Linked DNA regions of Oryzias latipes. The protein of the gene in region 3 purifies or fractionates together with the protein of the main gene of each other region. This does not show direct contact. Links are inferred from orthologs where the notes say so. Each region holds a gene or a part of one and is shown on either strand. Other genes may lie near its edges. The genes, in order: polr2g, rpap1 and gpn1.

Region 1 (10,375 bases), on a different chromosome or scaffold from region 3:
CAAAGTCACAGTTTTGTTGGTTTATGCATCACTTCTGATCCCAGATTTGAACAAATGTTTTTCCAAAAAGAGATTATCCAATCACAGAAGACAGAATGAATAAATCAGAGCAACCTCCCCAGTGCAGACATTAAAGGATCACCAGACGGACAAACAGTCTCAGAAATGATTGCTGAACCAGGAGCTAGCATGAGCAATAGGCAAGGCAAGGCAAGGCAAGTTTATTTGTATAGCACAATTCGTACACAAAGTAATTCAAGGTGCTTCACAAAACAGAAAAATGCATTAAAATCACAATACATCATGACAGTCATGACATCACATTTAAATACATGCACGTCTACATTCACTCATGGAGTCCCCGGACTGGTAGAGAGATACCTTTTTTTTCTTCTTCATTTTTTACAGTAAATTGATTTGTTTGCACACCAAAAATGTAATACAATATAAACAGAATGAATTGTTTTTGTGTTTGGCCAGCTGTCTAAAATATATTGATTCATTTCTGTCAGCAAATCTTTGAGCAACTGTGATTGTAAAGATATCTTATCATGGTGGTAACTTTGATAAAGTCCTCTAACCAAACTCAAACAAACCAAGAAGCAACACAAGGGGTTAGCCAGCTCTGTGTGGCAGGGGCGGAGCCTTTCTCATGCGCCAGGGGGTGGAGCATTGACTATGTATGAGAACTGTGACCCCTCCTCCCTCGCGTTCTAAACAAGAAGTACCTGTCGGCTCAAAGAGGCTAAAATCCCATAGACTTCTATAGAGAAACAGCTGTAATCATTCTTCTATCCTACTTTTTCTCTCCTCTTGCTAATCCTATATTTTTCCCCATTATTTTTTTTTTCTGGTCTCACATCGAAAGTTAGAAACGTGTGACAGATTCTCCAGAGCCTGCTTTCAATTGGTGGGGGTGTGGCCTTCCAATAGGCTCAGTGCTGATTGGTGAGAGTGGAAACGATGATTCAGACCAACTCAAACCAATCACTGTTTCCTAACGTCATCTGGCTCCAACATGGCGGCGTCCAAATCCCAAGATAATGGTGACTGAATTGACTTCATTTCGTTGAAGTAAGCCATTTTTTTTAATGGATGATGTCACACTTGCTCTGACCAGTTCTCACATCCAGTCAAAGGGGTGGAGCCATCCATATGCATCAACAGGATATTTGGGTTGGTGTGACAGAGATGGAACCAGCCTTGGGTAGCAGGGACAGGCCTTTTTATTTTGACAAGGGCGGAGCCAGCCTTGAGAGAAAGGGGCGGGGCCTGTGTAATGCAACAGAGGAGAAGTCGGCTTCGAGTGACAGAGGCCAAATTAGCTTGTTTGAATGTTTTTAAGCTACATAACTTGTGTATCAATTACGTAGCGGGTCAGCTTAACATAGTAGGAAATATAAATCTTTTCCAGTAAAGATTGAAAATACATCCACTACAACAAACATTAGACTACTACTTAGAACCACATCCAACCAAACCCACTGTGAATGGTTAAAGCACACGTGTCAAACTCAAGGCCGGGGGCCAAATGTGGCCCGCCATGTCACTTTATGTGGCCCGGGAGAGAATAAAAGTTTTTAATTCCTTAAAATAATTTATTTTTGTTGTAATTATTCAACGTTTGCAGGTCTTATGTGTGTGCAGACAAATTGTTGTCATCAAACCATCAGTTGGATGCAAAGCTGTGTGCAGCCTTTCTTTGTAAAATGTTACATGTGTAATACATGTTCTTTCTAGCTCAGTTCATGTTATTTTTCTTCATTTATTTGGACAGTTTGATCATGGGTTTTAATAAGCGGACAAAATTCTAAAGTATTTGTGCTAGAGTAACAAGCAAACATGTTTTCTATGCAACTGTAATTTTAAAAAGTTATAACAAATAAATAATGAGTTATTTAACATTAAGGAGTAGTTACATTTATTTTTCATTACATTTAGTTACATGTATAAGTTATATCTGGCCCTTTGAGGACAACCACTATGCTGAAGTGGCCCTCAGTGAAAATGAGTTTGACACCTCTGGGTTAAATCTCACTCCAACCATCTTTTGATCCAATTTTAAAGTGTTACCGCTGGTCTTTTTATTATGATTATGTCATTTTTAGCCAAAATCAAAAACCTGTGTCGTTTTCTAGGACATATGTTCTGCACATCGGCAGCAGCTCATGAGAAATTCATCTGGGTTGTTGGCGGGATTCTAGGCACGGAGTAAGCCCGCCCCCACTTCCCGTCACCAATCTGTTTACACTAGCCTACAGCCCCTCACAAGCCCAACCTAACATAAGTGGTGCAACTAAAACGGCGAGCTATCCAGCCGTACAGTTTTGAGCCAAATACCAGCTGGGATGAGGAAAACAGAGACGGACATGGATCTGTCTGCAAGTGAACGGAGCGGAGCAGGAACTGCAGTTTGAACGTGTGTGTGTGTGTGTGTGTGTGTGTGTGTGTCAGAGTCTCTGAATTCATCTTCACGTCCTTCCAAAATAAGGGGTAATTTAAAGGCAACACCCACCTGTATCTTTATTCATTAACTCATTGTAGTAGGCGAAGAAGGCTCTGAACTCAGCTGGTCTATGAGACAGGACTTTGAAGACATTGGGCAAAAAACCTCCCTGTGAGAAGCAAAACATAGAAAGAAAGATGTACATTTTCACAGTGTAAACCTTAATTTAAACGTCGAATTCGTTATTTGTGAGCGTTTACCTTTGCCTCAACCTCTTCCATAAGCTCCACTATGTCATAAGGGAGGTTTTTTCTGTAGGGAATCGGGTAACGACTTATTTTCTCCGGTGGACCGCCGCTGGAGGATTGTCTGGTCGCCGCTGATCCGCCAGATCTCCCCTGGAGTAAGAGGCTTGACGCGGGCGGAGCCTTAGTGGACACCGAAGGAATCAGCAACAAGCACGACTCAACAAACACCACACAAGACTTTTCAACTACTCACAGCTTGAGTTAGTAAGGACGACCGAAACAACAACTTGGAGACGAGTTTGCCTGCCATGTCACTCCACATCAATGCAGACCGCTTTTTTGTGGTTGGTTTACGCTTTTTAGTCGCCTCAAATACTCCAGGGCTTTCCTAAAATTATTTACTTTAAAAAATAAAAATCTCACACATTACTATCTACAGATATTATAATTCGAAAAAGCTACAGTTGAATGCCGTCCAAACATGAGCCTTGTTTGGGGTGATTTCCCGTCGCGTGTGGCCACACAGACGCTATTTAGCTTTGTGTTTGTCAGATCTTAAATCGGTTGAAATCATCCAATGAATAAGCTCCGCTGAGTGACGCCTGTTCTTTAGTACGCCCTGTTGCGTCGGCTCCTCCTCGCCAGTAGGGGGCAGCAGTCATGAGTGCTGAACATGGTCTGAGGTAACCTTTCTTAAAAATACAAATTCAAAGTTATAACCACACATTTGATTTTCACGATATACATTTTACATTCTGTGGGTTTTATATATTAACAATACAAGGGTGCCATTTCTTCTCTTTTAAAACAATGAAAGGGCAACTATCTCATGTGACCCGGAAGAGATCGTTTTGACACACCGATGCCTTCATGCTAGCTGTTTTAGCATAAGGGAAACACAATTTGGACAAAACAGTGCAAAACAATCAAAGAAAGAATCTACATCTATATACAACAATATGTTTTATCATGTAAGTACTTGAACTTTTCCACCCCTTATGAGAGTATTAATAGATATGAAGGGAGGTTTTCGTCTTCGGTTTTTGCGCGATAATGAGGCGGCTTCACACAACTTTTTTCAAATCCCTTTTACCAAATATATCAGCGAAGTTTTATCTTCCATTGTTTGGATCGGCTTGTAACAGCAATGTTATTTGGAAAGTTTTTCCTCTTAAGTTAGCACGATCATAACCACGCCATGATCATGATGTGTTTACAGATTTCTTTGGAACATGAAATCTTACTACATCCACGGTATTTTGGTCCAAATCTGCTCAACACAGTGAAACAGAAACTCTTCACGGAAGTGGAAGGTACCTGCACTGGCAAGTGAGTAACAGCTAATCATAAATAAGTGCATAAGTGTGATTACTTTGTAAGTTTCTAGTCTGTCCTGAAAATAACAAGCATTTGCATTCACTTTTCTGTAATGCTGGTTTGTATAAAAAAGCTTAGAACTGCATCCCTACAGTATTTCCTGCTTGTGTCCCTTCTCCCAGGTATGGTTTTGTCATTGCTGTCACTACTATTGACAACATTGGGGCAGGTGTGATCCAGCCAGGTAGAGGTTTTGTACTCTATCCAGTCAAGTACAAGGCCATTGTGTTCCGCCCATTCAAAGGAGAAGTGGTGGATGCTGTGGTCACGCAGGTTAACAAGGTAAGGACCCATAAGTACCTGTTGTAGGCCTTTCTAAGATGTTTGCCATGGAATAGATCCTTTTGTTGAACGCTTGTTTTTCACATGGAAAACGTAGATTCATGAATTGTTTTTCTGAATTCCAGTCTCTTTAAATACATTTTCTATCCTCCTTTAACAAAATTTGGGTTCTTTGCAGGTTGGCTTGTTCACAGAAATTGGTCCCATGTCCTGCTTCATTTCTCGCCATGTAAGTTTATGTAACATTTAACACTTTACTATATATATATCTTGACCTAATATGTAGGTATGTTTTTATATTATTGTTTGTGTATTTTATTGTTTTTTTATTCTCCCAGTCGATCCCTTCAGAAATGGAATTTGATCCCAACTCCAATCCACCTTGCTATAAAACAGTTGACGAGGTATGTGTCATTACTCTGTCTGTTTTATGCAATAGTAGATTTAGCATGCAGAGACATTGAAGGCTACTTTTCTCTTTCAGTTTTTAATCCTTGTGATACATTTGATTTTAATGAACATTTCTTATTGTGTTTATTAGGACATTGTAATCCAGCAAGATGATGAGATTCGACTGAAGATTGTGGGAACACGAGTGGACAAGAATGACATTGTAAGTTTTTTCCATAAATATTATTTTTGATCTTTTGACCAGTAGCGACACAGATCCATTAACATCTTCATTTTCCTTGACTGAGCTGCCAGGACTGGATAGCTCCAAAAATTCCTCGCACTATTGTCATCTTGGGGCTGTAAGCTAGTGGGAAAGAGTGTAGACGGAGGATTGATACGAAATTAGCGCAGGATTACTTTGCACCAATAGTCCCGCTGACAACTCAGAGGTGAATCTCTGATGAAGGTTCCTACCATTCGGCAGAAACTATGTCCCAGAGAACATCACAGTTTTTTGTTGTTTTTTTTGGCCAAAAGCAGCACAATCCTAATGAAAAGACCACTGGGAACAATTTAACAATAGATCAAAAGATGATTGGATTGGGACTTTAGGTCCATATGGATTCTTGTAATGTTCCTTTCTTTGACTTTCTGGTGTTTTTTCAAACCATTTAAAAGAAGAACAACAAGCTTAGTTTGAATACAGCAGGATCTGGTTTGACAGTTAGTCAAAAGCCTGATTACAATAAAAGCAACCTCACTAAAACATCTGCTTGTCGAAATACCCATGTAAAGAATTGTGCAAAACTATTCATTGAAACAAGTTTCCTCTTTGTTTTCTAGTTTGCCATCGGATCTCTGATGGATGATTATTTGGGTGAGTATTAAATGTCAAGTCAGAATTATTTTTTTTTTTTTTTCAATCAAACAACAACATAACTAGACGATGATGATCTTTATATAAAAAGAACACATACTTTAGAATCTAAAATATGTTTGGTTACTATTTTAAATTAAAATTTATTTTCATTCGTGTTGTATTATTTTTCTTAACTGTCATCAAATTCATTCAGTGCCAGCATTTGGAAATTCTAATATTCAAACATACGTACAACATTTTATACACTGAAGTTTAGGATTTAGTTTTACATGAAGGACCTTCTTAAAATGATCTTCAACTTCCTTTATCTCACAAAATAGATAACTTATTAATTCTTCCAAATATTCAGTGATTCTTTACCATAAACAGTACATTTTCAACGCAATTGATACCTCACAGTATACAATTGTCATTTGTTTTAGTACAGTTTTCAATGCAGTATTATGATTTAATGGTAACATTTGGTCAATAATATTTTCATATTTTTAAATCACAGTGATTATTATTTGAAAAGGTATTACTCAGAAAGTAAATCTGTCAGATTTCAGTTTGTAAATTGCATATAAATGGCATTAATAAGCAATAAAATATTGTCCAAATGTAAGAGAAGAATTCAAAATAAATTTCACGAAAGAGGCTGCTCTTCTTGTTAAATAAAACGGACCAAAACTCATTGAATATGCATAATCATGCTTAAGTGATATAGGTCATAAATCAAATTATTTTTTAAAACACTTTTCACACGTTGGTAACACAAATGCTTTGCTGAATAAAAAATATAATTTTAACTTAAGTTTGAAGGCAAACTTAGCGTAACCCAAACTGCCACCCAGCCCAACTCGTTCATCTACAATTAAAAAAAAATAAAAAATTCTATAACCTGAAGCATTTTCTCAGTCAAAATGTCGAACACCAGAAGCACTGTTCGATTTATAATTGATTATTTTAATTGTTGTCTAACTCGGGTGGAGATTGTGCTGATGTTGTCAGTCATAAACAATGTTCAAATTAGTCATCCTCAGGCCGTCCACACGGTTACAGAATAATGCACATAATGAAGTGTGTATATATATATATATATATATATATATATATATATATATATATATTATGCCGTTTACAGATTCTATATCAAACTAACCCTGGCTTTTTCTTTTTTTTAAGGTCTCGTGAGCTGATTTCTTTCAGCTGAGTGCTCACCACCTGGGACAATTTATGTAGTAATAACTTCATGATTTATATTCATGTTATGGTAGGATTTAGTCAAAGCCTTGCTGTTTTTTTTCCAATAAATTAACATTCTTTATTTTAGTTAGTTGAATTGGTGTCAAGAGATTAATTCTGCAGTTTTGTGTTTTTATATATATATAAATTTGGTTTAAGTGGAATACATACCTTCAAATTTAGTTGTATCATTTTTGTACTTTGTAATAAAAGATTTAACTTTTTCGTTTATCTTTGTATCATTTTTTTAATCACATACGTCGACAAAGTATTTGTTGGAGTGTCCAATATTTATCTTCTAACACTTGAAAACTCAGTCACGTGCGCAGCAAAATGGATGGGCACGTGTCACGGTCGTAAATACGTCACTGATGTGCGCCGTCGTTCTTTCTTTCTCTCGTCCTGAAGATGGCGGCAGGGGTGAGTAAGATGGAGAGGAGGCCAACAATGGAGTTTTCTTTCAACCTTTTCGTCACAATCCGTCTCGTATCTATGTCATCTGCTCTGTTATTGTGTCGTTTAATAGACACATTAGACCATGTTGCTGTTTTTTAGTTGGTAGAGGGTTTATTTGTCATTTATATTTAAGAAGACGCTAACAATCCTGCCTGTTTAATGGCTAACTCGGTTGTGCCACGTTACAATATTTCGTGAGACTGGGGATGATGCTCCTAAATTTTCCGTGGCCATGCCACTTTATGACCGACGCATTTTTTAGAATGATTAAAACAAAAATCCCCAGATCCTCTTTATTCTTTTGATCGAACCAATCAAATAAGTGAACAGATCAGATGTGGTTTGCTAGTCTTACAAAAAGCACAAGTCGCGCTAAGCTAGCTTACTTCTAGTTTGTTTCTAAAACAATGTAACCATGCCACTTAAGTTTAAGAGGCGTTTCAGCCTATTGGTATTCCATATGTATTTACTTTTGGTAAAATCTTTTTTAAAAGTGCTCCGTTTCTGATATGCTCATTCATTAGCCAGGATTAGCTACAGCTGGCATCGTTATCACATTACCTCAGTCTAAACCTTTTCTCATATGAAACAATACAGTTTAAATTAGGTTTGGACCTGCATTAAAGCAGTTTAATCATAGAAACGTGCACAGAGATTGCATAACTAGATGGATTCAATACATTTAGTCACAAGCTGATAGAAGTTTTCCTGTATTTCAGACTATCTACACATACCCGGAGAACTGGCGGGCCTTCAAAGCCCAGATCGCTGCCCAGTACAGTGGTGCTCGCATCAAAATCGCCAGCACCCCCCCTGCCTTCACCTTCGGACAGACGAACCGTACCCCTGCCTTTATTAATAACTTCCCGTTGGGCAAGGTGAGGGCAGCTCAGTCACATTCAAGTCTTGTTCTTTTCCTCATTAACTAGTTGGGTTTCACACAGCATCAAATCCTGTGGTTCTAGGTACCTGCCTACCAGGGAGATGACGGCTTCTGTCTGTTTGAGAGTAATGCCATTGCTCACTACTGTAAGTCACATTTTTTTACTTCTTAGTCTCTCTAAACGGTCAGAACAGGTTGCTTTAATTGTTATCCAGATTCTCTAAATCAATTCTATTGAGTTGAGGCAAAACGATAGTGAAGCCTTGTTAGCAAATGTTGCTAAATTTGGGGGTTTTGCAGTATGGTTTTATGAATTGTTTAAATTTCGTGTTTTCATAAATCCACTAACTGCTTTGTTCATTCCATGGAAACTCATTTGTCTTGAATTTGTATGAGGCTTTTGGTTTTCAAAGATCAACCGGTTGTTTTTCTGGCTTGTGGCCTACAGTGAGCAATGATGCCCTGCGCGGTGCCACGCCTCAGGCAGCAGCGCAAGTGCTGCAGTGGGTGAGCTTTGCTGACTCTGAGATCATCCCTCCAGCAAGCACATGGGTCTTCCCTACTTTGGGAATTATGCAGTTCAACAAGCAGGTATGCAAGTCTTTATTTTCTGGATTATTTGGTTATTGTGACATGATTCTAAATCACTGGCTAACTGTTAAGTTTTAAACTATTTTTTTTTTTTTTTTTTTTGGTGTGTAGGCCACAGAGCAGGCCAAAGAAGATGTAAAGAAGATCCTGACCGTCCTGAACCAACACCTGAACACTCGCACTTTCCTTGTGGGTGAGAGAATCAGCCTTGCGGACATCACGGTGGCCTGCTCCCTGCTCTGGCTCTACAAACAAGTATGCAGCTTGACACTTTTCACTGTGTTAAGTGGAACCTCCAGCATTATTTGAGCTGGTGTGTTTTCCATAAATGAGCTGACCTGTTTTATCTTTTGTAGGTCTTGGAGCCTTCCTTCCGCCAGCCCTATGTTAACGTGACCCGCTGGTTTGTCACCTGTGTCAACCAGCCCCAGTTCAAGGCCGTCCTCGGGGATGTCAAGCTGTGTGAAAAGATGGCACAGTTTGATGGTGAGTCAACAAGAATGTACTTGTTAGAACCCTGGATTCATTTAAAAACTATTTTCCCTTTGTATACCAATAAGTTTTATTGCACAACATTTGGCTTCAAAGGTGAACTGACATCTCTTATGTTCCCCCCGGAAAGCTTTATTGTTTAAACTTTTAACATGGTTACTAAAGTTTGAATAAAGCAGAAACATCTGGTCATGCAGGGTGCATGCTCGTCACTGGTTAATCCAAACATAACATGAAGATATCTTTTCATTTTCCAACTTTTTTTAATAATCTGACTCAAGCATCTTCTTCATAGAATAATCCATGCCGTGCTTTTCTTCTAGCAAAGAAGTTTGCTGAAATGCAACCTAAGAAGGAAGCACCTGCCAAAAAAGAGAAGGGAGGAAAAGAGGCAGCCAAGCCCCAGGAGAAGAAGGAAAAGAAAAAGGAGGAGAGCAAGCCTGACCCAGAAGAAGAAATGGATGACTGTGATGCTGTTTTGGCTGCAGAGCCTAAAGCAAAGGATCCCTTTGCTCACCTGCCAAAAAGGTACCCAGTGTCCAGTGTTGCATTCAATCACTTTGTACCAGTAGTTATAGATGGTTTCAAACGTGTAATTGGAGTACTCTATCCCCTGTGATTGGGCAAGACTGTGTCCAATCATGGCATTACGTCTTAATCAGACGGGGGAAAAGAAAGAAAAGACCACATTCATCCCAGTCATCTCTATTTCAGTGGGTATAAGGCTGGTTCATGCTGTGGCCACATGTTGTATATCAAAAGCATTCAGTGCATTAAACCTGAGATTACCTCTGATTTTATTTTACTTTCACATCCTCACATTTTGCATTGATGGGACAAAATCTGGTTAATGTGAAATGGTGTTGGGATAACGGTAAAGTCATGCTGAAACATGGTACATTTATTTTGACATTTGTTTGTTGTAAATGTAAAACAATGGTAGACATTCATCATGTTGGGCTTCGTTTTGATGTTTTTGTAATTGCATTTATGGTCTGCTGTCTTAATTCTGCTTTAGTTAAGAGCAGAACAATGATCTCCGTGTTGTTTGTTTCTGTTTTAAAAGCACATTTGTCTTTGACGAGTTCAAGAGAAAGTACTCC
Region 2 (10,275 bases), on a different chromosome or scaffold from region 3:
AATAATCTTTTAGCTGTTTTATGGTAAGAAATAGATTTATTTTTAAAATGCATTTTAAAATATCAGCAGGTATGAATAGCATAATAACAATTGATTGGATCAAATAGCAAAAGAGGCTTTCATTTTAGGGAATGAGTTTTCTGAATACTAGTAGCCTTTTTCTTTTTTTGTTTTTCCAGATCCCAGACTCGTGGAGTTTGTCAGATCCCACAAAGCTCAAAGTGTTCAGTCTGAGGAAACAAACAAGAAGGAAGACGCTCTGGAAAAGGCAGGTGGACCTCCATCCAGTGGTCCTGTGTTTTATTGTGAAAGGAGCATGGAAGAAGAGGAGCCACAGCCTCCATCAGCAATCATTACAGGTATTTCAACTACACAGAATTTAGTTTATTGTTGGAAACAGTTTAGAAAAACATTTAAATTAAGCTATTTTTTTATTTTAAACTATACACTACTATAAAATATTTTTTCAGATTTGAAAATAATGAAAACAAAAATACCTGAAATCACATGACATAATATTTGATTGGAAACTGATTAAAAGGTTTTGGATATTGAATCATAAAATCTGTCCAAATGAAGAAACAAATTGATAAAAATACAAATGTAAAAGTCTTTGGAATGTATTGTAGACCAGGACCTGACTCAATCTTTTGTTTGGGTTTGTTCAGATGTCAAAAAAGTGTTTTTGTTTATTTTATTGTAATGAATTTATTTTTTTTGAAAATTTTGTTTTGCTTTATTTTATTTTCACCAAACAATTACAAAAAGCAACAAAACAATACACATTTTTTGGACATTGAAAGAGGAGCAGAAAGAAAAAACCTATTATTTTTTGCCCCTTTTACTTAAATATTAAAACTGTTTTTTTTGCTATCCCAAATTAACAAAACAAAAAGAAAAAATACAATTGATGGCTAGCACCAATATGTGTATTTCTTCATTTACGTCAGCTTAAGGGCAGGAGAGAATAAGTCCTCTGGGGATGGGCAGTGTGATGACCCCCCCGATGAATCTTCCCTGCGCTCCTCATCCCTGTTTTTTCAGAGTCAAGGCTGCTCTCCTACCATGGAGTAAAGCTGCTGCTTGACTCATTCTGAATGATGTAGTAACCAGTGAGCTAAAACTTTCAGCATTGACATGTTTTTTTCTAAAACATGCAGGCTGCCCAGAACAAACTCATTAATAGAGCCCTGACCTGCAGAGATGCTGCTTTTGAATGTAGAGCTAAAAAACCTCTTGAGGGCCTTGTAGGTCAGAAGACACTTTGAAAATTCTAAAGCTTTGTTCAAAACTGGTTTCAACCAAAATAAGTCTTTCTTTAGCTGGTACGTCCAGGTGTTTGGACAGTTTTTCCTTACTGGCAGTGTTTGCCTTACATTCAGAGGTGGAGCTGCCAGTGAAGCCTCAGAAGGAATGGGTCCACATGGACAAACTGGAGCCAGAGAAGCTGGAGTGGATGAAAGACTTGCCTCCTCCCAGGAAGAAGGGAACTGAGAAGGTAAATGAGCAATTCCGGCAATTCTGCTCAGATTTGTTGCTTGAACTCCATTTATTTGTCTGAACTGTATTTGTTTGTAGCAACCAACAGACAAAACGGCTTATTTTTTTGTTCCTAAAGGCCATGCAGGCCCGTTTTGACTTTGCCGGGACATTGATGCCACCCACTGAAGATCTACCCACCCACTTAGGGCTGCACCACCATGGAGAGGAGCCTGAGGTCAGCACAACTGGTTCACAAAGCATAAGAATATGAGCCTTTTATTATAATTGTTTGTCTTCTGCTGACAAGAATCAGTTGAATCAGTTGAATGGAATCCTTCACCTCTCACTCTGACATTCATCGTGTCTCCATAGCGGGCGGGATATTCCCTCCAGGAGCTGTTCCTGCTGTCTCGCAGTCAGCTCATCCAGCAGAGAAGTTTGGCTCTCAACACTCTGGCTAACATCCTCTCCAAGGTACACAAACAGACCCGAAAGTCTGTCATCTTCATCCTTAGGGAGTATTTTCGTTGTAGTTATGTCTTTGTCCTTCAGGCGCGTGCTGGAGAGTACGCATCTGCCCTTAGAGGCACCGTGACCTCCACTCTGCTGGACGCCGGCGTGCTCTTCCTGCTCCGCTTTGCCCTGGACGATGGCGTGGAGGGAGTGATGTCTGCAGCTGTGCACGCGCTTAAAGCCCTTCTCGTGTCTTCTGAAGATGAGGTTAGATTTTCCTGAGATTCTCCTCATTTTTTTTTCTTTTTTTGTGAATTCTAAACCCCCCCAAAAAAGTTTAATTTGGAAAAATGTTTCAGGAGTGCATGGATTCTACTTTCTCCTGGTACCTGGGTTTGGCCTCCTTCCCTCTGCTGCCCTCTTCCCAAGATGATGAGGAGGAGGATTATGAAGGGGTGGATGGATGCATGAAGCAGACGGCCAAAGAAAAGGAGGAACAGAAGAGTGATTTTGATGTTACCCAGCAGGATGTCGTCAAGGTGAACAAACCACTTCTCCTGCTCTTTCTTCTGCTTCCTTTGAGTCCAGACGGCTGACTTCTTTTATGTTTTAGGGCTTATTAAAGATGAAGCTGCTCCCCAGGCTGCGCTACATTCTTGAGGTGATGCGGCCGTCCCCTCGGGTGGCTCAGGACGTCCTGCAGATCCTGACCCGTGTGGCCCGACACTCGCTGTCATCTGCCACTGAGGTAAGAAGAGTGAAAGGAGCAGCTCACAAACTCACTGGATCACTCCAGCCCTTCATCTCCTCCTCAGGTGTTGAACTGTCCTCGTCTGATGGAGACGGTAACGTCAGAGTTTCTCCCCACTTCCTGGTCGGCATCTTCCTCACCCAACCCTCAGTCCATATATGGAGTTCCTGTGCCCAGCGCCATGAAGCTCTTGAGGGTCTTGGCTACATCTGGCAGACATAACTGTGCCAGACTGGTAATTATTTTTAATACTGGAAAAAACTGTCATTTTAGCTGCTTTGAGATGCATTTGAAATCAAATCACTTTAATTTATGTGGCGCCTTAATATGATTGCAGTCAAACAAACATTAAAAAAGCAGTTAAAGGGTTAAAACAATTACAAAGTAAAGTAGTGCAAAATAAAAATATATAATATAGTAAAATAATGACAGACAAAAAGCAGAGGTTAAATAAAAAAATACCAGCAGACAACCATCAGTTTAGATTATTACCATAAGTGTTCCTTCATTTCTTTTAAGTCTCAATCTTTTAATATTAAAGCATATTAATATGCTTTAATATGCTTTTTCCCAGTGGTCTTTTAGTGATGTTTATGCCGTTTTTAGGCTAAATCTAAAATCCTGTGTTGTTTTCTAGGACAAAGTTTCTGCAGAGCGGCAATAGTTCATTGGAAATTGCCCTCTGAGTTGTGGGTGGGACTGTTGGCATTGAGTAAGCTCGCCCTTTGTTGCTGTTGATTTGATTAAAAAAAAACTCAGAAAAATACATTTAAGATTAATTTTCTTTATAATGACACAACGATGACACAATGATTAAAGACTCACTCTGGAAGAGTTGGATAAATGCATAATCTGGTGGAGGTGAAAGTTTAGTTTCTATTGAGGCCAGAACAGGTGGATCGAGTTTAAACTGACACACTAAAGACTTATGGCACCAAATCTTGAATATATACCTGTGCCATCAATGGAAGAACTTGGACTTGTATTATGCTCAGGAAGTCAGTTACTGTAGATTTGTTTTCCTTTTTTCTGAAAAATCACATTAAAGATGTGATTTAAGAAGCTAGTCTGGATCAGAACTTTGTTCCAACTCCCCCTTACCCGGGCCTCTGGGAAACATACACATTTATTCATAACATTTATAACAACAATCACTACAGATATAATTTAATTAACTCTAGGAACAGAACGTTCTTTAAAAGGGTTTATGCTGCATCAAATATTTAATATTAATAAACCATAAATATCTATTTATGTTTTTTTTCTTTGTTCTACCACAGATTTTCTCCTCTGACAAGTTTTTACATTTATTTTAAAGTTTCTTACTCCAGTTGCCTTTAAAAATGATAGTTGATTATTTAAATTGTTTTTATTTTAGTCATGCTTTGGGCAACTTTTAATCCAGCTGAAGCATTTTCGGATCTTAGATAAAGAACTTTACTCATGGCTTTTTATATTTGTGAACAATAGTATGATAAGGTCATAAACAAGTTGGCTGCTCAAACATATTAACTAAAATATGTTTTTCAAGAGGTTTTTGCTTTTTAAGATGAATTATTTACGTGAAATTCATCCATTTTTTGGTTCTGGTGCAGGTGGAGTCCAGAGATGAGGGGAAGTGGCACTTTAGTCAAATTTGCACAGTTAAAGCTTCATTTAAAGTAAAGTACAAAATATCAGACAGGAAACTTCATGTTCTCATTTGTTTTTCAGTTTTCATGTCAAATAGAATTAAATCTCCTATATGGTTATATTGGATTAAGTCTATACTTAAAATTATATACAATTCTGAACTTTCAAAGTGAAGATTACAAAGGTCCCTAAAGTTTCTGCAGGAAGGAAGTGGAAGCCCAAAGGAGGCGGAGCTACAGCTTCAGGCAGCATTGATGCACAGGTGCTGCATGAATGTGGCGGCTTTGGTTTCAGTCTGTCTCAGCAGTTGCAGAGCAGCTGTGGCTGATAGCAGAAGGCTGGTTGTTAATAAATCAAAGCTCAAGAGGAAGGTGCAACATGTGCAAAAGCAGTTTCTCTGATGACACGAGGAAGAGAAAGAAACGAAATGGGAGATGCAGGCAGGTAGAGATCCATCATGTTTATTGTGTTCAGGGAAAACTTCACCTCCACATATTCTCACAGATTGTAAATAGAAAAAAATGCAGCAATATGGGAAAAAAGCAGACGTTTGTTCATCAAAGAGATAAGTGCAGCACACTAGCAGGCTGTTGGGTAAACTATTCTAGATGAAAAACCGATATGTGAGAGTTGGATTTGGGAAGCCAGCTTATAGTTTTTTAGAATATTGCCTGCACAAACAAGACGAGATGAGAATTTTGTAGTCTGTACATTTCATAAAGCTCACAGTTCCCTGGGACAACTCTAGAAATGACCTACCACAGGAATAAACTTCAAGGCAGAGTCTGCTGCAGAAGCAGAGGAACACAAACGGAGAGCTGAGATTGGCTATAAAGTTTTTTTTGGAAAGTGAGTTTACGCTCTGCTCACAGAGCTGTGTGTTATCACTATGATTTGGTTGCCTTGCTATTCAAACCTGTGCTTATGAGGGGTGTAACGTTTCATTGATTCAACGATTTCTTTTCCTACAATCCAACCAGATCGATCTGTCTGAAGCAGATCGAAAAGACCTAAATCCTTATTGAATATATACAAAATGAGATAAATTAATTAAACGTTAGGTTTATTTAACAGTGATGAAAGTCTTCCGGGAATTCCCGGAAATCCGGGTTTTTGAGCAAACCGAACGTACTTTCCGGGAAATAAAGACCTGATCTCTACGGACAAATCGCTTTCCGGATTAAAAAATGGTCTGAAATCAGCTAATTTTAGCTTTATTTTCTATATTTCTCCGCAGATCGCTTCCTCTATGGTCGTGGCCATCTCTCGTCTTCCGGGCCTAATTGACCAATGACGGGACGTTTTAGTTGCTTTCGGATGCGTCGATGGGTCTGATTGGCTCTGTCTGCACCACGTGGTCAGCGTGACTTGCTTCCCTAGAGACCAAAACTGGCGGACCCACGCTAAACTTTCACAAACACATCTGAAGAGTTTGCGATCAAATTTGTGTTAAAATAATGGCAGGCATCGTCATTATTGAGCCTGGTCACGACCTCAGTTGTGAGAAGACGATAAAAAACAAATTGAAGTGGTCTTGGCTGGAAAAAAAAGATTTTTAAGGTAGTGTAGGTCAAATACTTCTTTGTGTAAAATAATCTCAAAACCACATTTTGAAATAATTTCAACTTTAGTTTTGAGTTTCAGTTTTTATTTTGAATACATTTCTTTATCTAATTTATTTGTATTTCCTAATTACCATGATTTAGTTCAGTATAGTTAACATTAATTATAAGTATTTGATGGTTTGGACCCGCACTCCCTTAAAAAATAATGTTTACAATATTTAGTTTATTTTTTATGTTTGTTTTGATATTTCCCAGATTACTTAGTATTGGTGTTAAAGAATTGATGTATTATGTTATAGAATTATAGTTTAAAGCAGATCCCATATTTTGATGTAATTATAGTTTGAGAAAACAGTGCAAGTGGATGTTGTACATCAGTCATTTCTAAAGCAGAAATAATGTATAAATAACTGAGGTATTTTCATAGAATATCATAGTTACTGGTGTTCTTTTTGCCATTTGGGGCTTTGATGTTACTATATTTTAGCAATTGTATGTTTTGCAGCTTTAAGGAAAAGCATAGATTGTAGGATTGTGTTACTTTGAGCAATTTTCCAAATTCTTTTTTGGGACCAGCAAGTCCTTAATGGAGAGTCAAACTAGGGGTTTGAATGACAAATCATGATGCTCCAATTAGTCTTAGTTTCTTGATAAAGAAGTGAATAACTAGCTGCCAGAATGCACCAGAATGCATCTAAGACCACGTATTTTTCCAAAATTTCGCTCTGTGCCCGCCATATCGCTCAAAGAAAAGTTCAGGGATTTTTTCCTTACCTGACTTTCATCACTGTTTAACTATAACATAAAAACGACCAAGTGCATCACAGTAGACAGCACACACGTGACGGCAGGAAAAAATGATCAAGTCATTGATTTTAACAAAGACATGTGGCCACACGGTGTGCTAGAATGTTCTAATAATGTTCCCTTTGGACCATTTGGATGTGGAAGACCAACAGTGGGATGAACTTTAGAAAACTTAGATGTGAATGAATTTAACAGTGATTATTGTGTACTTATCTGTTTTTACACGTATTTAATTTACACATGATTATCTTGCAAGGAATGTGTAAAACCTCCCCTGCACTGTTCAGGACCCAGGTATTTATCTCTGAGTCACACTGGTTGAATTTTTGGCTAAAATTTCCTGGATCGATGTTTGCTGTTTGATTAGCAGCTTATCAGAAGTCTAGACAAATGTGTGACGGCGAGGCCAATCGATGGGTCGAAAGGTTATTCCAAATATTCGAATGACATAACGGACTATTTGTTGCTGCCACATTCACTTTTGTATTTCTCAAAGAGTTTTTAACTCTGTTTCCTAGTTGAACTCTCTGGGTGTGAAGGAGCGTTTGTCGCGTCTGCTGGGCGCTGAGCCCAGCGAGCTGCTGCTGGAACCGTCCGAGGCTCTCAGGGTCACCACTGAGGCCTACAGGTTCTGGGCGGTGGCAGCCGGTTATGGACAGGCATGCCAACTATACATGTAGGTGAAGCACTGAAGGTTACACTGTATACCAAAGAAAACACCTTAAAAGTAGTTTTGTGGTTAATGTTCTGTTAAATCACCTGTGATTTCACATTTGTTTTTTCTTGAAGAGACTTGTACTCTGCTTTACTGAAGTCACTCCAGTCTGGGCATCGCTTAGCGCCGCCCTCACACGCTCTCCAGCCTCTGCAGCTGCAGCGGCTCTCGGCTTTGCTTTCTCTGCTCACACAGGTCACACACGCAGCCGGCTGCCATCAGGAGTTGCAGGCTGGCGTCCTCAGGTACCTGCAGGATGATGACTCTGTTCTGGTTTGAAGCCTTCGTCTACATGAGGCTTTGTCTGTGTTCATCGCAGCGCTCAGGGGGAGGAGTGCCCTCCTCCGCCTCCTGTTTCCTGGGGTCACGTCTCGGGCTTGCAGGCATCCCTGTTGGGGCATCTGAAGGGTCTTGTCAAAAGCCTTGATAGTCCAGTTCAGGCAGATAGCAGCTTGACCCTGATACCAGCTTATCTGGTCTATCTCCAAGCGTACTACCAACAGCTCTCCAGACAGGTACTCCGTTCTGTCTTCTATCTGCAGAGCAATCGAGGTATTTCAAGTTTGAAGTAAAAACAAACAAATAATTTTATATTTTTCTTTTAATGCATATACAACAGACCTTTTTCAAACCAGTGGAGACTCTTCAGGAGCTGGAGCTTCTGACCTCCGATGTTCTTCTTCCACTTCTGTGTCACAGTGTTGTGCAAGGTCTGATGAACAACCTGAGGTACTTCTGATAACTCTGCTGCTCTTTTCTCTCAAAATGTACATTTTAAGGCTGTTTATTTTCATTTTCATCTTGTTTAGATCCTCTTCTTTGGTTTGCAACGTTCAGTCCCACCATCCGGGTCCAGAGACGACCTCGAATCTTCCAGGTTTAGCCTGCGCAGGATGGAAGGAACGTTCTGGGCTTGTTGTTCCCAGCTCCCCTTTTGCTCTTGTGATCGGATTGGGATCCCTCTTGGAAACAATCACAGGGATCCATAGAGGTCTCAGCAGCAAGGTGGAGTTTAACACATTATTATAACCCATTAATGTGGCATTACATTCAAAACATGTAGTGAAATTGTTACAAAGGTGTTGCCCTCTGGTGGTGAATAACAAAAACCTCTCATATCTGAGGTGTTGGGGTTGAGAGGACATTAGTTGTAGAATTCTTAAAACTTTAGCACTGCTTTTAAATAAATCATTTTATTAAATATTTTTTAAGTAATACAAAAATCTAATATTTTTCATATTTTATGAATAAATGAAAACAAGTAAAATGAATAAAAAATGAATTCCAGTTTTCTTTCTTTTTTTAAAGGGAGTTATCCATTATGTAAGCAAAGGGAAATCCTTTTTTACTATTTGTTAAATAATTTATTTCTTGGTAAGAATAGAGCAGTCTATGACAGTTTTTGTTTGTTGTACTTTGGATGACAGTCTCATAAAAAGTAGTAAAAAGTTGTTCTTTTTTTGTAAATGGTTACATTTTATATGAATTTTTTCATCTGTCCCTAAAGTTTTCTATTAAGGCCTATTTGGAGTGCTTTTCTTTAATCCTTAAATGCCTGAATTTCTTTCCTTCTTTCTAGTTCTCGAGCTTCCTCCTGTCAGAGCCTGTGATTGGTTACCTGCAGGCCTGCAGTAAGTCCACGCCCACTCTGTCTGTGTCCAGGGCTTGGCTCCTTCGTCACGAACACCTCCTCCTGTACCTGCTGCTGCGGATGGCTCACAGGCTGGTGGGTGTGGATCTACTTTGAGTTGTGGGGTAGATATTTGTCATTTTGAAAGAGCTGCATTGTTTCATTTTTCTTCCGTTTCCTTTTCTTTTTTAAACATTTCTCAGGTTCCTGTCGATGTAGAGGTGGCGAAACAGGCCTCACTTTATCACCAGGTGGCACTGGTGCTTCTTCCCTGGTTATTACCAGGCAGTGAATACTTGGCACATGAACTGCTGTCTACTGTTATATTCAACAAGGACTTTATATCGTAAGAAAAACTATTTCCTCTGGATAATTACACCTTTATTGTCTGATAGTTAGTCTAAGTTTTTGTTGTTTGTTTTTCTGTTAAGAGAGGGACACAGTGGAGGTCCAGAGGCTGTGGAGCTCGGGGAGCTAAAGCTTCACGACGACGTCAGACTCCACCCATCTCCATCTCTACAGACTGTTGGCGCTCTCCTCAGAGAAGCCTGCGTTCAGCTGCCGTCTATACGGGGCTGCTTCCTCACTCATCTCGCCTATCTGGAACCGTCTGTGATCGCGTCCCGAAAAGCCCTGCTTGGACGCAACCCGTGGATCAGTTCCCACCTCCTCCCGGAGGTCACGGGGCCCACCCTGCCATCTGACTGGCCGTTCCTCCCCCTCATCAAACTGTACGAGCAGACAGGAGTGTCTGGCGGCGGGGGGCTGGCTGTAGAGGAGCTTCCAGCGGGGGCTCTACAGGCGGCTGTCCACTGTTTGCAGTGGCTACTGCTGCTGGAGGTTTGGAGGGAGGAGTCCTTAAAGGTACAAAATCGAAGAATGCACTCATTTATTATCTGCCCTCAAGATTTACTGGTTTTTAATTCTTATTGAAAATATGAAAAGTCATTAGTCAAATTTGTCACCTTGTTTTAGCACACTGTCATTCAGTTTTAATGGGCCGTGCAAAATCCGTTTTTTTTAAATTTTAAGTTTATCATAATGTTCATTCCTCACAAAAAGAAACCCCAAAGGTGGTATTTTGATCCATGCACACATTTCTGACTATTCTTCTAAAATCCTGCGCTCTGAGCACCAGCCCCTCCCAACCCACAAAAACGAGCGGGTTCTCAGGAGCTGAGGTAGATGAATGAAAAACGGCGCTTTCCAGGAAGATTCTGCGCTGTACGCCCCGCCCCCA
Region 3 (10,275 bases):
GAACACACCCACCTCTCCTCCAAGACCCCATACGACCTTTTGTTTGACATTTGCTACCTGCACCTTGCACTCCTGTCCGCTCAGTGTCCCATTCTCTGAACTTCTTCATTCTACCTCCAAGTCTCCTGATCTGCTTTTATTGTTCCAGATGAAACACCAAGAACCTTCTACTGCCATACAGTTGGTAACGTTTCTGTAAAATGTAATCATTTTTTTTTACAAACCACCCCTAACTTTTGTTCTGTCATCACTAAAGTGCCAATCATGCGGGTTTGCTGCCCCCTGCTGGTAGCTTCTTCCTAGTTCTATATTTTACGACAACCCTTTCGGTTTGACGGCAGGTCGTCGTCATAACAGCGACCAACATGGCGGCTGCTGCTGCGGGTTCAACGGAGAGCCGGGAAAGTTCGGCGGCGGGAGACGGCGTGGCTTCTCCCCGAGACCGGCCCGTTTGCCTGCTGGTTCTGGGTATGGCGGGTTCCGGGAAGACCACCTTCGTTCAGGTGAGTGACGGACCGGCGTGGCGCGCGCCCGGCGGCGTCTTTTCATCCTCCGTCACCGTCTATGTGCTGAAAGCACATCTGTGGTCCCATCTCAACAAACGTCCTGATGGAAACGATTCTGGGTTTGAAATGTTAATTCGAACGAGCGAAAATAACCAAGAAATGGGCGGAAAATGTCTGAATATATGGAGGAATTTGAAGCCACGTGAGAAAAATAAAAGAAAATCGAAATTCCAAGTAGTGAAGTGGAAAAAGTGGAGAAAAGAGTCGTAATCTGCTGCAGTACTAGGCTATCATCACTACTCATAAGCATAACTACTACAAAAAACTACTTAATTATCAAGTGCCCCGGATTTAGAGCTGATATGAATAAAGTTTGAATTGGAGATGTTTATGAAGCGATTTTTAGTCTGACCAAATATGGATTTGAAATCAAATTTCTTGTTTGGTTCCACCTGATTTAAAGGTTTCAGGCTAACACTACTGTTCATAAATTGACAATATAAAAAGACGTTTCGATTCCAAGCTGCTTCCTGTCTGGTTCTCACCTTCATGGCGTTTCCCGCAGAGGCTGACGGCTCATCTTCATTCCCACAAAGCTCCTCCTTACGTCATCAACCTGGACCCGGCGGTCCACGAAGTCCCCTTTCCAGCCAACATCGGTGAGGAACAGTCTACTTACTGGACACACACCCTCTATCCACACAGTTTCACACAGTCCTGCTATGGTTTTTGTAACACACAACATTTAAAGACCAGGAAACTTTGTCAAAGATTTTCAGAAGAAAACCTGAAAGGTTTCTGGATTCAGACACTCTTGAATCCTGGAGTTGAAGAGAAGAAATGTTTCATCGACGTGACGGTTCCTTCTGTGACTGAAATAATCACTGTTTGACTGTTTCTCTGTTCTTAAAGTAGAAAAAGACGTTTTTTTTTTTGTTTTTTCAGTTTGTGTTTAAGTCCTTCGCATGTTTGGATTCTGTTCTCATGGATGTTTTCCAGACTTTTGTCTGAGCAGCACAAACCACGCACTGCTAAAAGCACCGGCAGCTCATATAAACCTATGTCTCTATGGAAAAAGTAAGAATATTCTTGATTCTGATTGGCTGCTGGGTGTGGAATAAAAAGTGATAACCGCACACCTAAAAAAGAAGTTCCGGTCACATAGCTTAAATGTTCTAACTAGTCCAATTTATGTAGTTAAAAAAAAGTGATCCAAATGGAAAAACACCACAAGAATGAAGAAGTTAAAACTGATTGAAAATTCATTTCTTTAACCATGGTATAACCGGGTTAATTTCAGACAAAGTGTACATTATCAGAATTAACACACTTAACCCTTACTTGATGAATCTTCAGACCTTTCTTGGCATCAGACTTGGGAAAAGAAGTTGTTAAAGTTTTTGATTCTAAATCTGCTTTCTGCTCTGCTGTGCCCCCCCCCCCCCCCCCCCCCCCCCCCCCCCCCCCCCGCAGACATCAGGGACACTGTCAACTACAAAGAGGTGATGAAGCAGTACGGGCTCGGCCCGAACGGCGGCATCGTGACCTCGCTCAACCTGTTTGCCACGCGCTTCGACCAGGTGAGGTCAGCCAGCCGTACGGTCTGGTCTGAAGGAGGAAAAGCGACGGGCAGAAGCTTGGAGAACCTCAGAGGCCAATGAAGGAGCTCAACGCTGTTTGATACTAGAGCTAAATAAAAAAACTCAGAGTGGCTGAATGATGGAAAACAATAACATTTCTAAGTAACGCGTCTCACAAGATGTTAAAATCATGAAGTAAAAGTTTACAGACATGAGAAGGGTTGGAACTTTGTCTGTTTGAGACTCTACTGTGTCTGAATTCCCACCCTAACCCCTACATGCTGCACTCTACAGCGCGTTCGTCATGTTCTAGTTTGTCTGAATCTACAATTCCAAAATCCAGTGCCTTAGAAATTTCCCAGAAGTCTCTGAAAAAACCACTGTGCATCAATGCTCACTAGAATATAGACCACAATGCATTGTGTCGGAACAATTTTTGCAAAAAAAAAAAAAGTATTTAAATGTATTTTTTAGTATAGTGCCGCACTGTATAGATGTCAGTAGTTGGGGGGTTAGGGTGTGAATTCAGACACAACCTTAGTCTGTAAAAGTCTCAGAACAGAATTTTAGAAAAGCTGTTAAAAAATCCTGAAGACACTTCAGTTTGAGGCCAAACCAGGTTTCTTCAGACTTGAAAGTTCTTTATTTTTTACAGGGTTCCTACAGAAAGTAAAAATGTGAATCCTCGCAGACGGATATTTTAGTCTGTAGACTGATGGAAAGTGAAACTGCAGAGGAACTGTTGAAGCTGAACAGAGCTGGACCCACTGACCTGCTGTGTGCTTTGGTTCTTGCAGGTGATGCATTTCATTGAGAAGAAGCAGCAGAACCACCGGTCAGTATAAACCGGCACCATAACCGAGAATGAACATCCATAGAGTTCAATAGAGTTAAAGGGGTTTGTGTGTAGCTGGGTTGCAGAATGCTTGTATGCTAACGGTAATAGAGGAGTTTCAATGCCTTCATTTAGAAAACGGAAAATCCGCAGACAGAATCTGTTGGATCAAACACCGTTCTCCTCTCAGCCAATCAGATCACATCAAACGGTCTGCTTTTGAGAGGGAGAATTGAACTCGTGAATAAAAACAGCATCCCGGACAAGCCCCCGACAATATTAAAGTCTGTATTTCAGGTGCCCTGCAATGATGTTCATGAGAAATAGGGGTGTAAGAAAAAATCATTTAGGTGATATATGGCGATAGTTCATCAATCCATGGTATGGATTCAAAATACTGCCAGGACGATATTTACTTCATTATTTCTGAGCGTCCTTCAGCGTCTGCCTCTTGTTGTCCACTTCAACCTCCAACCACTAGTTGGCAGCAGAGAACATGGAGCCTCTTTGAGCAGCTCTACAAAACTTTTTTTTTTTTTTTCTTTGAACTTTAAACATACACATAATAACAACACACAAAAAAAGAGAGAAAAAGAAAATAAGTAAATAAATAAAACAAAATATATAGAATTGTAGTTTACAATACTAGGGATTGTGATACAGCATGTGATCTTCAATGAAAACACACAGTTTTATTGCCTTTTTGTTTTTCATCAATGTCAGAGATTTAAAATATAAACTGATTTCTTTAAGAAATGTATTGAATAGAGGTTTGGTTTTTAAGAATCTGCACTTGTGAATGAAAAATTTCCCAGATATTAATAAGGTATTGAATGTCAAATCAAATAGATTATCACCAGAAACTACTCCAAACAATATAATGTGCTTTTGTAATTGAATAGAAATAGGAAAGGGAAACTTTGAAGAGCACCAAAAAAAGAAATCTTCCCAAAAACTGTAAACATACATACATTCAAAAAACAAATGATCAAGTGTTTCAATATTTATATCACAAAAAGAACAGTTATTCTCTGGAAAACCAAAACGTATGTGTAACAGTTCTTTGCACGGATAGACTGCATTCATTATTTTAAAATGGATTTCTTTGTATTTTGGGAAAATTGGATATTTAATAAACTGAGATCTTAACTTGCTTATTTCCTCTCTTGTGTAATGCTGTGACATAGAATGAGCTCTACAAAACTACAGGAAGACCTCAGCTAGAAGCAGCTGGTTCTGTTGTTATCAGACATGAACTACTGAGTTTCTACTTAGGATGGTACCGAACAGAAACTCTGCCGTGTTGCTGCCGGTAACATAGAAAATCGTGGATTGCTGTGCTTTTTGAGGCTGAGATCAGAACGAGTGAAGCTCTGCAGCTGCACAGCGGCTAAGAGGCTAATGCGCTTAGCATCGGCTAAAATGCTGTCGGCAAAGCGGGTCAAAGTTCTGCAGAACCTCCCAGTATTAGATTGTAGTTCAGCCGCCTGATGGATCAGAGGGATGTGAACAACGCTCTGAAAAAAGGCCCACGCCGTGGCGAGGAGTGTTGGTTTACTTCCGTGTGAGAAAGCGTGGCTGCAGCGGTGCAGACATGTAACCAAAGCCTCTTTGTCACGTTAGGAACTTTCCTTCATCCTGTCATGCTGCCTCATCATCATCACTTTGTTGTTCCCGGAAAGAATCCGTGGTTTTGAATCTCCTGAACCGTTAGAAATACTGGAGAAGCTACAGTTAGCAATATTGAAAATAAACCACCTTATTTCCCCAATCCTACTTTTACAACCTTAAGGCCCGTTCACACCGGGACGAATTTCACCCGCGATAATTCGCCGACGTTTAACGCCTCGTGACTAAACAAAGGGCACCAATGTGAGTGTGCACACCGACGCGAAAAAATGCCAGGCGTCAAAGCGTCAGTTTTTAAAAAACGCCTCGGGTTCGTTTTTTTGGTTTGACGCGCCAAAAACTAAACGACCAATGAGAATGGCGCTTTTGCACACGTGTCTGGAGCTTCTGAAGTTACAGTAAAACACAACTTGGGGGCGCTCAAACACAAAACTCCCTTGCTGAGCACACATACCAGCGAAGAAGATAGACGCCAAGTAGCGTCTACACAGCCGCGAAGAAATAATGACGGACATTCTAAAATATCCCCGAACCAAAAAAATATTCCCGAAAATTTCATGTTTTCATGTTATTCATGTTTTCTTTGTATTATTCTGACAAGCGTGTAAATACTTGCTCTCTTCTTCTGAGTGAAAAGCGACTTTAAGAAGCGTAAAGTTGAGCAGCGCCACCTTGTGTACAGTATTTCTGTTTACATTAAGCGCCATCTAATGTCAGGGAATGAAATTGCATGTTCACTCGGCTCATCGTCAGCAAAAATCGCCTGGGTATGAACACAAAAAACGTGGCGAATAACGCCTGGCGAATATTCGTCCCGGTGTGTACGGGCCTTTATTGGTTAAGAAACATTCATTCCTTTATTTTTCTTATACTGAAAAATATTTTGTGGTGGAAATCAGACAATGTTAACTGTTCCCTTTCTATATTTTAAGTTACCAAAATAAAAGCATTTCTTAACATTATGATCATTAAATAAACTGAATTTGACCATTTTATTAAATGGTAGTTTCTTCTAAGTCTTTTTTTGTTTGCCCTTCATGACACGTATCGTCTCGCCAGACTCTCGCCAATACACCCCCCTAATGAGAAATGACCAGCTCTAAAAAACGTCACGTCTGCTTTGTGGTCTCGTTAAGATTCGTTGAAATGTCTCATTTTGTTGCTAACGGCAACCAAACAAACCATTTATCAGAACAATCATCACCAAACCAGAGACCTGGAAGGATCTGAACGGCTGTCAGACTCATCGTAGGTTGTTGGAACTCAACAGTGTTTGTTTGTCTTCATCCCTACATCCATCCACGACAATATCCTGTAAACTGTGTTAGCGTGACATCAAATGACCTGATTGATGACATCACACTCATGTTTATGACAGAATGGCGTTGCTTGTGTCTGAATTCCTTCCCTACTCATTCTGTAGAGCGTTCTGCGTTTTCTAGTGCTGTCAGAATCTACACTTCCAAAGTCGAGTGCCCTAGAAATTTCCCAGAAGTCTCGATGCTCACTAGATCTGCGAATATAGACCACAATGGGGGTCGGCCGTGGTGCAGTGGTAGAGCGGTCGACTCCTGATCAGAAGGCTCGATTCCTGCCCTAACCGCCCATATGCTTAGGAAGCGCCCTTGGGCAAGACGCCAGACCCCACATTGCCCCGGTGGGGGGTTGGCGCCAGTGTTCAGCAGCAGAGTGTGCCACCGGTGTGCGACTGGGGTTGGTGTGTGGCTGTGACTGTGTGCTTTTATAAAGCATTGTGTTTTTGAGAAAAAATGTATTTTTTTAAAAATGTTTTCCTCATCTGAACTCTGTGGATTCATGAATGGTCGTCATAAAACACTAGATTTTCACTCTGTGAAATCGTGATGTCATAGTCGCGGTTTAAAAAAGTAGTGAGCGTGGCGTCCGACCTGCTTTTGTGTTCCAGGGCACTAGATAGTTTTTTAGTTGTTAGGGGTTTGGGCGGGAATTCAGACACAACCTTTAACTGTCAACATCTGTTTTCAGTCCAAATGTAAAGTGTTTGCGGAAACTCCGCCCCTTTATGGTCTGGTGGACCAGTAAGGTGACAGTCTTGTGCGCCCCTGCAGGTATGTCCTCATCGACACCCCCGGTCAGATTGAGGTCTTCACCTGGTCGGCGTCTGGAACCATCATCACGGAGGCTCTGGTGGGCGGAGTCTCCCGTCGTCTACGGCGTCCTGAAGTGGTCGTGGTCGTCACCTTGTGTTTGTGTTTCAGGCTTCGTCCTTTCCCGTCGTGGTCGTCTACGTGATGGACACGTCCCGGAGCGTCAACCCCGTCACCTTCATGTCCAACATGCTGTACGCCTGCAGGTAAAGGCAGCCGGAGTTCAATCTCCCAGAATGCTCAGCGCTGCATCTCAGGTCTCAAACACAGAGAACATGCAGTAAACGGCGTCTGCGGCGCTTTTCTACCTTCATTCAGGCCCAAAGTGCGTTACATCCAGACACACACATGCACACGCACGTGCACACACCATGCTGCCATGCGAAGGACCACCATGTCAAACCAAAGACACGTGAACAGGCAGAGTGGGAATCAAACCTGCCACTTACTGATCAGAGGTGGACCCTCATACCTGGAAAGTTGACCGATTTACAAAATAAAAAAATGACACAGAACAGACGGATTATTTCCATTCAAGCTTTTTGTCAAGTTTTTCCTGTAAATACGTTAAAACTGGAAATAAAAAGCAGAACAAAGAAAAGTTATGAGTAGAACCAACCATCAGGGGGCGCTGTCGGCGCAGACGCCAGCTTCATGTCTTCTTGTGGTTCTTTTGATTTGGATGTGGATTTTTATCCCCCCCCCCCCCCCCTCCTGCTGCCCCCCCTGCTGGTGTTTGTTGAATGAATCCTTTCTTCTTTCTGCAGCATTCTCTACAAAACGAAGCTTCCTTTCATCGTCGTCATGAACAAGGTAGGTCGGTCCCGCCTCCACGCCGTCACGCCGCCGTTCCCGCCGCCGACCGTTTGTCTGTTGGTTCTGCAGACGGACATCATCGACCACGGCTTCGCCGTGGAGTGGATGCAGGACTTTGAGGCCTTCCAGGACGCGCTGAACCAGGAGACGTCCTACGTCAGCAACCTGACCCGGTCCATGAGCCTGGTTCTGGACGAGTTCTACACCAACCTGAGGGTGAGAGTCAGGAGTCCATAGAGGTGCAAAGAGCGCTGACCCATGAGATCTACAGGGAACCAAATCCAAGTTCTGTCAGGACACATTAATCAATGTTTCAGCAGCTGCTTCCACAGAAATATGCCAGAGTTATTAGCACAGGAGCTACACTTCAGGATAAAACATTTTAGTATTAGTGGTCAAAACATTTACAAAGGTTATTTATAATAAAAAACACAGCAGGAACATCCATGTCTGCAGGCCTGCTTTGTTTTCAGCCGTTGGCTTAGAGCTGTGTGGAAGGTTGGACAGTTTTCATGGTTTCTGCTGTGCTGTGGCTGTTTATTCCATCACGGTGCTCCTCTGACACCACAGTTTGGCTGAAGTTAGCCCTGCGCCTTTGAACATCCAGTTAAAGTCCTGGTTTTTCTGTTGACATTTCAAAATAAAGGTCTTGTGAGGAGCGCTGTAGGAGAGGAAACCGGAGAAGAACACCGTAGAAACGTCTTTTTTAACTTCACTGTCGTTCATTAAACGTTGTTAGCTGTTTGTGTTCTGCTGTTTCTCCCTGCCGGTTCCTGAAGGTTACGCCGTGTGTCGTGTAGATGTTTTTCAAAGTCTGTCTGGACTTTTGTTCATAGCACAGAACAAACCGAGGCAGAGTTTAAGTGGGCGTGTCTCTATAGGTGGTGGGCGTGTCTGCTGTCACGGGAAGCGGGTTGGACGATCTGTTCGTTCAGGTGGAAGACGCGGCCAAAGAGTACGAGACGTGAGTCTGGGAAGCATAACGAAGCTTCAAACCCTCTGCTGCTTCATACGGTGAAAGTAACGAAGCTCCGCCTCCTTCCCCAGAGAGTACCGGCCTGAGTACGAACGCCTCCGCCAGCAGCTGGTGAGTGTTTGGCGTTTGTGTGTGGGGTCGACTCCGCCGGCCGCTCTCTGAGTCACGCTCCTGTTCCCAGGCGGAGGCGCAGAGCAGGAAGCAGCAGGAGCAGCTGGAGCGGCTCAGGAAGGACCTGGGAGCCGTGAACGTGACCGGGACTCCGCCCACAGGTGCAGACAGCCCCGCCCACTCTTTAAAAAACCCTGTATTTAACTCCAACTGACTCTGTGTCCGACCGCAGAGGGCGGCGAGGAGGCGGGACCCAGTGACCTCATCATGATGCGTGGGAACCCCGACAATGACGAGGAGGAGGAGGACAGCGACACCGACGACATCGACCACACAGGTGAGGAAGACGAAGGTGGACGGACTCCGTAGAAGCAACCAAACAGGCGGCCATCACAAACTCCGCCCCTGTTTGGTTGCTGTGGCAACCGAGCCAAATTCTGTGTCATCGAACAATGTGATCAACTTCTATCGGCCCCTGAGCGCCATCATGAGGCGAGATGAGGCACGACGAGAAAGAAAAACATCTCTGTAGAAAGTATCTTCATTAAGGGACAAACTCACTGGCTTCACTTTACACTTTCAGTTTGAAAACGTGTTGGAGGGAAAAAGGCGGCAAAACTGCGATGAAAAACGAAGCAAAGGAAACTTAAAGGATGGCAAAATCCATAAAGAGCCTTTTTTCCATATTTACATAAACATTAAAACAGATTTTTTAGTCTTTAGGGATGTTTGCTCTGCATTTTAACGGAACCGTGAAGATTTTCCTCCGTTTAGATGAAACGTCCAAACGTAAAGGTTTGACCCGCCGTCGGTCCAAACTGTTAGATCAGCGGCGCCGCTGGAGGCCATCCGGCGTCACCAGGCCAACCGGGAGGATCTTCTGCATGAAGACAGGTCTGTGCTGTGGTGGAGCGTCACTCCAGTTGTTCCTGTTGGAGACCTGTCTTCTGCTGCTGAACGTCTAGACTCAAATCCAAGAATTACATTTTATTCAGGCCCCCCCCCCCCTTGCTAATGTGATCAATGGTTCAGTCCGACTGTAACGATTCTTTACCCTCTGATTATTGATCCAAACGTCTGGATCTCATCTGTGATCGCCACAGCAGTTTCTGCTCACTTCACTCCCCACCCTTCCAGCTGCTGAGGACGCGCGTTCGATTCCCTCTCTGGACCAGGCGTGTGGATGTTTCCATCAGGGAGGGGGCGCAGAGACGCTAACATGTGAACGTTTGTGCTTTCAGTCACGGAGGAGAGCAAAGAGAGCGCCGCCTTCGGGAACTTCCTGAAGGCGAGACGGGAAGTGGTTCAGGTGCGGAACAGGAAGTGCGCCGTGCCTGAGGCGCCGTGACCTCTGAGCGACTCCAGACCGTGGACTGGCACAGGCTAATGTACCGAGCAGGTGGTGTCTACACACAGTGAGAGCTGTGGACTGATGGGGTGACCTTTGACCCCCATGCAGAGCTCCCGATCGGCTGCTTTGCTCCTTTAGAAAGTATTTTTTTATGGAAATGTTTTTGTTTTATGACTGTTTGCTTTTGTTTGTGAACAGATTTATGATCTAAACAAATAAACATCAGAGACTTCAGTCAGTGGCCGGCATGTGACGGTGACCCAGACGCAGGAAATGCATTTTAACAAATGTGTTTTCAGTTTTTACATTTCATTTAAACACTTTTTCTCACCCGAGTCTGTTTTA

Evidence for each region.
Region 1: the proteins of gpn1 (region 3) and polr2g purify together in Homo sapiens (affinity purification with mass spectrometry; 4 studies listed by BioGRID and IntAct, counting the BioPlex papers as one, with this or other methods). This does not show direct contact. The link is inferred for Oryzias latipes from reciprocal best matches to the Homo sapiens genes GPN1 and POLR2G.
Region 2: the proteins of gpn1 (region 3) and rpap1 purify together in Homo sapiens (affinity purification with mass spectrometry; 3 studies listed by BioGRID and IntAct, with this or other methods). This does not show direct contact. The link is inferred for Oryzias latipes from reciprocal best matches to the Homo sapiens genes GPN1 and RPAP1.

The regions. Positions count from the first base shown.
Region 1 is NC_019868.2:13,733,429-13,743,803, reverse strand, and holds polr2g (DNA-directed RNA polymerase II subunit RPB7), read left to right. Parts: upstream 1-3,414; 5' UTR 3,415-3,653; coding exon 3,654-3,665; intron 3,666-3,913; coding exon 3,914-4,023; intron 4,024-4,193; coding exon 4,194-4,353; intron 4,354-4,531; coding exon 4,532-4,582; intron 4,583-4,691; coding exon 4,692-4,757; intron 4,758-4,894; coding exon 4,895-4,966; intron 4,967-5,589; coding exon 5,590-5,623; intron 5,624-6,790; coding exon 6,791-6,804; 3' UTR 6,805-7,079; downstream 7,080-10,375. Other genes in the region: uncharacterized protein LOC101155778, read right to left, coding at 2,516-2,615, 2,707-2,874, 2,948-3,016; eef1g (elongation factor 1-gamma), read left to right, coding at 7,259-7,270, 8,026-8,184, 8,272-8,335, 8,638-8,780, 8,892-9,035, 9,137-9,266, 9,596-9,800, 10,339-10,375. UniProt on the Homo sapiens protein: Core component of RNA polymerase II (Pol II), a DNA-dependent RNA polymerase which synthesizes mRNA precursors and many functional non-coding RNAs using the four ribonucleoside triphosphates as substrates.
Region 2 is NC_019880.2:11,590,178-11,600,452, forward strand, and holds part of rpap1 (RNA polymerase II-associated protein 1), read left to right. Parts: intron 1-179; coding exon 180-359; intron 360-1,382; coding exon 1,383-1,498; intron 1,499-1,618; coding exon 1,619-1,717; intron 1,718-1,854; coding exon 1,855-1,956; intron 1,957-2,034; coding exon 2,035-2,202; intron 2,203-2,294; coding exon 2,295-2,474; intron 2,475-2,548; coding exon 2,549-2,683; intron 2,684-2,750; coding exon 2,751-2,921; intron 2,922-7,208; coding exon 7,209-7,366; intron 7,367-7,479; coding exon 7,480-7,650; intron 7,651-7,724; coding exon 7,725-7,920; intron 7,921-8,024; coding exon 8,025-8,134; intron 8,135-8,214; coding exon 8,215-8,410; intron 8,411-8,984; coding exon 8,985-9,131; intron 9,132-9,238; coding exon 9,239-9,381; intron 9,382-9,466; coding exon 9,467-9,899; intron 9,900-10,275. UniProt on the Homo sapiens protein: Forms an interface between the RNA polymerase II enzyme and chaperone/scaffolding protein, suggesting that it is required to connect RNA polymerase II to regulators of protein complex formation.
Region 3 is NC_019861.2:37,308,629-37,318,903, forward strand, and holds gpn1 (GPN-loop GTPase 1), read left to right. Parts: upstream 1-333; 5' UTR 334-365; coding exon 366-503; intron 504-1,071; coding exon 1,072-1,165; intron 1,166-1,979; coding exon 1,980-2,086; intron 2,087-2,883; coding exon 2,884-2,921; intron 2,922-6,637; coding exon 6,638-6,716; intron 6,717-6,787; coding exon 6,788-6,882; intron 6,883-7,443; coding exon 7,444-7,489; intron 7,490-7,561; coding exon 7,562-7,708; intron 7,709-8,373; coding exon 8,374-8,456; intron 8,457-8,539; coding exon 8,540-8,579; intron 8,580-8,649; coding exon 8,650-8,740; intron 8,741-8,811; coding exon 8,812-8,916; intron 8,917-9,820; coding exon 9,821-9,927; 3' UTR 9,928-10,265; downstream 10,266-10,275. UniProt on the Homo sapiens protein: Small GTPase required for proper nuclear import of RNA polymerase II (RNAPII). May act at an RNAP assembly step prior to nuclear import.